Coturnix japonica: one gene and its partner. The protein of the gene in region 1 interacts with the protein of each later gene in a pairwise test. Links are inferred from orthologs where the notes say so. Each region holds a gene or a part of one and is shown on either strand. Other genes may lie near its edges. The genes, in order: PAK1 and RHOJ.

Region 1 (3,825 bases):
ATCATGCAAGTGAATTTCAGTCTCTGGAAGGATCTCTCTGCAACCTGACTTCTGAAGTCAGGCTGATCTCATTTGGGTGGAACAAGCTGGTTGCTGCAGAGGAATCTATTACCCAGTTCACAAGCTTCCGTCTTTAAATCCTCACAGCAGGGTTTATTTACTTAGAGATTAATGTGTATATTGAGGATCAGTGTTCTGGCTGTCTGAATTGTGCTTCAAGTATGCTGCTATGGCAGGAAGGCCGGGGCCCAGCAAACACTGCAGGACTTGACATGGAGGTGACACGGATGCAACACTGATGCTTTCTGCCCATCTCCCTCTGGTGCATTTCAATGCATTTTCAGTGATGGAGCCTGAGTGGCTGTATCCATGCTCTTTGATTGCAAACTTCAGTCCCTGTGCATCATGTTACTGCCTGAGCTGGAGGTTGATGCAAACCTGTTGAGGCAGATTTTGGCAGAGCTAGAATGGATCCGAGAGGTCTTATTTGGAAGAAGGTATTTCTGACAAAGTATTTGTCATAGATGGTGGATTCGCTGTTCTTGGAGGAGTTCAAGAACTGTGGATATGTGGTTAGTGGACATAGTGGAAATGGGTTGGCAGTTGGACTTGATGGTCTTAGAGTCTTCCGGCCTCAATGGTTGTAAGATTATGTTGGCTGCTGTCAGATATCCCTGCTCTCTGCTACCTGGGATTTGCTGCTTTTTCTGCTCACCCTCACCCTACACTTCTGCTTCATGTTATACTTGAGGTCTGGCTGTACCCCGCAAACAAGCTTTTTGTGATAATTAGTAACTGAAACTCTTCAATATAATAGAAATGATTGGGATCTCAAGTGGAATGTGTGCTGACGCTTTGCATTGGTGTGAGGCTGCACGTTTGTCTGAAAATACCTGTGTGTGGTTTATTTGACAGCATGTGATTCTAATTTACAAAAAAAACCCAACTCTAACTCAACAAACCACAAAGCTTCTTACTTCTTTTTCTTCCTCCTTTGCTAGTAACGGCCTCTACATCTGAAGATGTCTAACAATGGAGTTGAAACAGAAGACAAACCACCTGCTCCTCCGATGAGAAATACCAGCACTATGATTGGATCAGGAAGCAAAGACACCGGGACTTTAAACCATGGCTCAAAACCTTTGCCACCCAACCCAGAAGAAAAAAAGAAGAGGGACCGATTTTACCGATCTATTTTACCAGGAGATAAAAGTACAGTATTGTGGCTTTCCTTATAAAACTTATGTCTCAGTTTTGCTCTGGATGGCTGTTGCTTAACGATGGTTTGGAAGATGGCTCATGTTCATTTCTTGCATAGCTGTTGTTGTCATTTTGGGGTATATGTGATGCTGGCTCTAGTTCTGTTTTCTTATCCTAATGATTAATTCTACCACAATTAATCTATCCCTCTTAATCTGCTTTTGTGCTTTTCTTCCCCTTTAATTATGAGAACAGCATCCCTAAAAGACGGGACAAGCTCTGCCAGCTCCTAGCATGACTTATCCATAATGATTTTGAAAATCATATAAACCTTGTGTTCCCAGTTACAAGCTGATGAGTTAAAGCTGCAATTGTCAGTTCCTTTGGTGGGGAAGGGGAAGCTTTTTGCCTGTTTCTTGTTACAGCAAGTATGTGTAAAGCATGAGTAACAGTCCATTTCCTGCCAGGACTGTCACATGTTACTGCATGGTCTGCTGTAACAAGCTTACAGTCGAAGGTGTAATTTCTCATTTATTCTAGATTTTGTGTCATGATTTTTCTACTTGCTGTTACAAACAATTTCTCACCACAAATTCTTGCACGTTTCTTGTGAAGGGAAGGAATTGTCTCCTGTTGCAGACACCGTAACAGATGGAAATGGAGAGAGAAGCTGTGAATTGAAATTCTAAATCATAATGATGTCGATAATTTCCAAACTCTCTCATGAATCTTAAAGTAATATAAGAAAAAAAAATCTCTATCCTGAAGTATCTACTGATTCCTTTTTATATCTGACCTATTTATTTTTTTTTGGACTTCTCTTTCTAGTACATCAGAGTCTGCATTGCAATGGTGTCTGGACATTGGATAACTGAAAGTCTTAAGTACCTGCAACTTGCTTGCCTTCATGAAGGAAGCTGCCTCCTTGATTTTTTGTTACAGAACAAAGTCTAATTGGTGTGCTAATTTAAATCACAGAGATAGAAGTTCAGGGAGAACTTGGATTCGTTTATAGCCATTGATTTTTTAATTCTGCAACCCAGGAACCCGTGAACTCTATTAAACATTTGCAGGATACTGGTTAGAACTTGCCTTTATGTGTATTAATCCTGAAGAACTGTAAGATTTTGGTGTCAGCAGAGTGTTTGTAAGACCTTTAGGCTCAACAGTTGCAGAAAACAAAGAAATAACCTGAAATGTTGAAGATGAAAATAAACATGACATTAAATACTGTAGAATATAAAGGAGATATGGTAACTGAAATGGTAAACAGCTCAGGTAAAAGAGATACTACCACTGATATTAAGCTTTAAGCCTGCACATCCTGAAGTTTGGCCAACATGGCAGATGCTTTCAGACATGAGAGATTTTTGTCTAGCCAAGCCCAACAGAGCCTTCTGTTGCAATGCATCTGCCCAAACTAGAACGACTGCTTCTGTCCTACAATTCTTGTCAAGCAAAAATTAGCTTTAACACCATCACCTCCACTTCTTATTGGCTGATTTTCACCTTAGGAACGTTTTTCTGATCTCAGATGACAACTAAATTCTCTCCTGCTGCTTAACTGCTCCTTACCAGGCTGCTTTGGAAGTGCCATGTTCTCTCTGCAATTGGAAGGTGTAGTTCTAATGTCCCCTGTCCCAGCCTAACCCTTAACTTTAATACTGGATGGAACCTCTCCAAATGCATGCTCCCGTGATATCATATTAGCAGGAGCTGTGACCATTCAAGTCTTTCTGGTTTCAGTCACTTCTTGGGGTGTATGAACCAGGCAAACATGGCACATTTTGTTCTGCTGGTGTTTGCTGAGCTCTGCTGCTGATTCACAAAGAGCCAGAGTAGTACCACGAAGTAATGATGTATAGTGTCTATGAGCCCTTTCCATGCTGGTTTCACTGCTGCAGTTGTGTGGGTATCTTGCATCTTCGGGGCTTTTTGACCCACTACATGGATAACGTGATCACTATAGATGGGGAGTACATGTTCAGCGAGACTGAGTGCCCATCTCTTTAGTTCTTTTCAGTTATATGCCTCCTACCATGTAATACATCTCTACCACAGAAAGCAATTATTAATGTTTGAATGCATTTAGGCTTGTAGGTCTGTTAGATTTTGCAACAAGAGCTTGTGGAAAGCATTGTCTTCTGAGAATTTTGGAGGAATGCTTCTGAATTCATGTGCCACCTTCATGTGCATTCACATGAGGCTCTAATTCAATCTGGGCACTGCAAAACCCTGAAAGAGGCATTCAGGCAGATTTAATAAAGTATACAAGAAAACATTTGTGGATTCACTGGCTGTAACGTTATATCTAAGGCAGAGTGATTTTAGCAAGAGTTATTGAGAGTCAGGAGAAATGCAGACAGTTGAGAATCTGTCGGAAGTGGTTGCAAGAAACTGTAAGGTTGTGGGGAGAGCATTAACTGCTGCTGTGAATGCAGAAAGCTGTCTTCCTTTTTCAGTCTAGAGAAGAGAAGGCTCTGGGGGGACCTCATTGCAGCCTGCCAGTACTTAAAGGAAGCTTATAAACAGGAGAGTGACAGACTTTTAACATGGTCTGATAGTGATACAAGAAGAGGGAATGATTTTACACTAAGAGAAGAGAGATTCAGATTAAATATTGGG
Region 2 (3,825 bases), on another chromosome or scaffold:
AGACCATGAGCTGCAGTGAAGCTAAAGTCAGGAAAACACTGGGCAGTAACCTAAACCAAATTAGAGAAAGAGATCAAATTCTAAGCAAAAATAAACTCCTCATGCCATAGGAAAGTCCAGTTATTCAAACACTGGCTTAGTTTCCCACACTGGAATACTCTTAAACAGCAGTTGTCCCTTGGATAACACTGCTTTGGATAACATACACTCTGAAAATAGGTAGTTTTCTAATGCCAGAATGTTTCACTTTAATATTTTCCATGGAAATAAAGGATTTTGCTTCAAGTCAGCCATCCAGAGCTGTGTTTGTCTGGTCTGTCACTGTGTTTTACAGGTGATGCAGTGCAGGATCACAGCAGACTCCCTTTCCAGTGTGGCTTGGGCTTCTAACGACCCTTTCCATGATGTATTGTGAAAGCCACTGAGAAATGCATCTGTACTATGCTGCAGCCATCTGAGCTGTAGCCTGATAACTGTCCAATAAAAACTAAGCCATATTAAACAGAAAATTTTAAAAGAGAGGAAGAAAGAAAGGAAAATACATATGTAATTCATTTCTGTGTTCTCACCTGAGGCTGTGAGGACAGACATCCTTGTGCAGGGATGTGACTATGGGTTTGCATACCTATGAATATACCTTTTGATAATTACACTAAGGCAGTACTGAGCCTGGGCTTTGTGTGTTTTCTACTAGATTGACCTGCGAGATGATCCCAAAACTTTGGCTCGTCTGCTTTACATGAAGGAGAAACCACTCACCTATGAGCATGGCGTGAAGCTGGCGAAGGAGGTGACAGCTTATTGGAGTCCCATGAAATCAATGGATTGCAGATTTCCATTGGGTTTCATTCATTCAAGGCAAACTCTTAGCACAGATCGTTGGTTGTTCCCAGACATATATCAAACACCCTGGAAGTAGAAACAGATTTTGGCTCCTGAGCCCACTGCTTTGCTGCAACACCCAACCTATCTCCAGGCAAAGCAATAGTGGGGAAAGGGGCAACAAAACACATTTTACTGACTACTTCAGCTAGTAGCAATTAAAAGCTGCCTTTCTGGCACCCTCATACCAAGTCCACCTCTTTCACCACTTCTTTTCCACTAGCAGACCTGCTGGTTATTCATCCTGGGGTGTTTATACTGCTAAGAAGTCTTGAGCCACATCTCAGTCCCTCTAGCCAGTGATAGATAACAAGAACATTGCAGCCCATTTCCTAAACAAATGGGAAATGTGTTTCAAGAGCAACTAATATCCCTACTTTTCATTTCACTGCATCTCATCATTTACTCATGCTTGGTAACCAGAACATAGGGAGAGAAGAACATATCTTTTTTGCAATGATAAATTAGCCAACACTTGGTACTCTCTCACTCAGGATGATCACTGGGGTTGGCCCTCAATTCTGTAGGCAGCCAGATACAAAGCAGTGGTCCTCACCCCTCTTTCTGAAGATCAGGACAATATACACACAGAAGGATGCTGAAGCAGGGTCTCTGTACCTCTCCAGACAGTGGGTACTCACACTTTCTCTCTCTTTTTACAGATTGGAGCACAATGCTACTTGGAGTGCTCAGCCCTCACACAGAAAGGCCTTAAGACTGTCTTTGATGAAGCAATCCTGACCATCTTCCACCCCAAGAAGAAGAAGAAGCACTGTGCAAAGTGCCACAGATGCTGCACCATTCTATGAAGTCACTTAGAAAGGAAAGTGAGATGAGTTCAATGAAACCAAGCAGGTTAGAAAGGCAATGAAGGTCATATACAACTGAAAAGGGGAACATGACCAGAAAAGGGTCCTTTTTACCTAAATAGGAACCCTCCTTTCTGTGAAACCTCCAAGCTGTATCACAATAGGCCAACTCTTGTCTCTGTGCACTCCAAAACCCTCAGAGTTGTATGCAGTCTGTTCCCACCACTGCAGACTGTGCTGAGCCAACAGGAACAAGGATGCCGGCTCCTGCTTGATTCTTCTTCACCCTAGGAATAAGAAGGCACTGAGTAGCAAAAATTAAAAAAAAAAAAAAAAACCTAAAAAAATAAAGGGATGAAAGAAACAGAGCAAACTCCATTTGTGGCCTTAAGCAAGAACTGATCAAAATTAAGAATTTGCAGTACTTAGGAATTTAATCTGAACTGACTGAAAGAACGTGGAGATCTGTAGAAATCTACTATGTAAGATATACACGATAGGTAGGATGTACTTTTGAATTACTTTTCTTTTATAAAACTCATTACTTCAGGATATACTTCCGTTTGTTCAATCTGCATAGAAGCAAAGGCGGAGCGATTCCAGTTTGTCTTCACTTAGCGGTGAAACTTCACAGCGTCAGCATGTTGCTGCACCCAAGCTATCAAAACAGATCAACATTTACCTCCAGACTTAAGGAATGTTCTAAAACGAAAAGAAATGCAAGTAGCTCTATTTGTACAAGGGAATATTCAGGCTGAGCCATGTTTCCGTAAGCTGGAAAAGGAGGAACAGAGTTGTAGTGTTTGTGTATTGAGACAAAGATATTCTGCCACCAAATATTGTCCTGGACATGAAATACCAGCTTGGAACAATCACCTTTCCAAACTGAGAACATGAAAGAGACACATTGCCATGGCAACTGAAAAATTACCTTATAGATCAGCTGGATTTCTACATCACACCCAGCAGACAAAAATAGCGAAAGCCAAAAAGCCAAAGGTCACACTGATCTCAAGTACTTTAGGATGATCCAAGTGCCTTATGATTTTTTTAGAGTATCTCATGTAAAAATCTTATCAAAGCAGAATTATGATCATTGTGATTTCCTGTGGTCCCCTCCTCTTATTCATTACTTTGCTTCACTCTTCCACAGCCTCACTGTGCTAAGACTTAAGACTTAACAGAGTCATAGTTCTCAGCAGTGGACTCAGAAGATGGGCTGCAGTCCTTAGCATGGGAGTGGGAAGACCCTGAGGGAGCACAAGCTGCCCATAAACTCCCTGTGCTACTGGAAAAATTGTGCCTTTCCCCTAAAGCCAATCTGGGAAGCCTGTATTTCTGTATCTCACAGCAACACCAATGCTCAGAGGTGAGTTCAAAGGGCATCTGCCTTTGGGAACAATGGCAATGCCATGAGGTTGTCTTGTGGATTTTGTTCCCCAAGCAGAAAATCATCAAGGCAGAAAATACAGAGACCTCTAATACAACTCCTTGCAACAGCAGAATCTCTATCCGGTGTGTTGACTCGAACTAAGCAGCAAACAGAAGAGAACAATCATGATGCAGTGCCCCATCCTTCACCCATGGAAGATGACGGATCCAAGCTCCTGTTTTCACTCGAGCACAAATTCTATTTACCACAGACACTGACAGAAACCAGATCAGACACAAAACATTTCCAGTAGAGATCAATCAAAACTGGCCAATCTTGAGGTCAGTGCCACCCACCACCTCTTGTGCTGCACGCAAGCATGGACAACAGCTAAAATTATGCTAATGAATAGCTATACAAAAGAGAGGCTTCTTTACTGCTGGCAATCATTGTGCATATCTTCTATCATGTCCCAGAGAAATGGATTGGCTGACACAACACAGCTCGGGGCGAGGATAGAGCTGAGCTTGGTGAAGGAGCTCATGTTGTGCCATAGAAGCTGTGCTGCTGTCCCAGCACTGAGCATTAATACAACAGGGACACCAGTAATCAGCTGATCTGAGATGTGTAACAGGGTGTTAGAAGAGCATGAGGAGAACTAGGAATGGCCAAAAACCCACTGAAAAAGAAAAGAAGGGTTTCAACTGTAAAAATAATGATAGCTTCACTGTGCTGCTGTTTGCCTCAGTGAAAATAAAACAG

What was found.
Region 2: the proteins of PAK1 (region 1) and RHOJ interact in binary tests that used the Homo sapiens proteins (3 or more experiments, as listed by UniProt). The link is inferred for Coturnix japonica from reciprocal best matches to the Homo sapiens genes PAK1 and RHOJ.

Annotation. Positions count from the first base shown.
Region 1 is NC_029516.1:172,845,823-172,849,647, forward strand, and holds part of PAK1 (serine/threonine-protein kinase PAK 1), read left to right. Parts: intron 1-1,001; 5' UTR 1,002-1,022; coding exon 1,023-1,212; intron 1,213-3,825. UniProt on the Homo sapiens protein: Protein kinase involved in intracellular signaling pathways downstream of integrins and receptor-type kinases that plays an important role in cytoskeleton dynamics, in cell adhesion, migration, proliferation, apoptosis, mitosis, and in vesicle-mediated transport processes.
Region 2 is NC_029520.1:48,567,622-48,571,446, reverse strand, and holds part of RHOJ (rho-related GTP-binding protein RhoJ), read left to right. Parts: intron 1-694; coding exon 695-790; intron 791-1,544; coding exon 1,545-1,691; 3' UTR 1,692-3,825.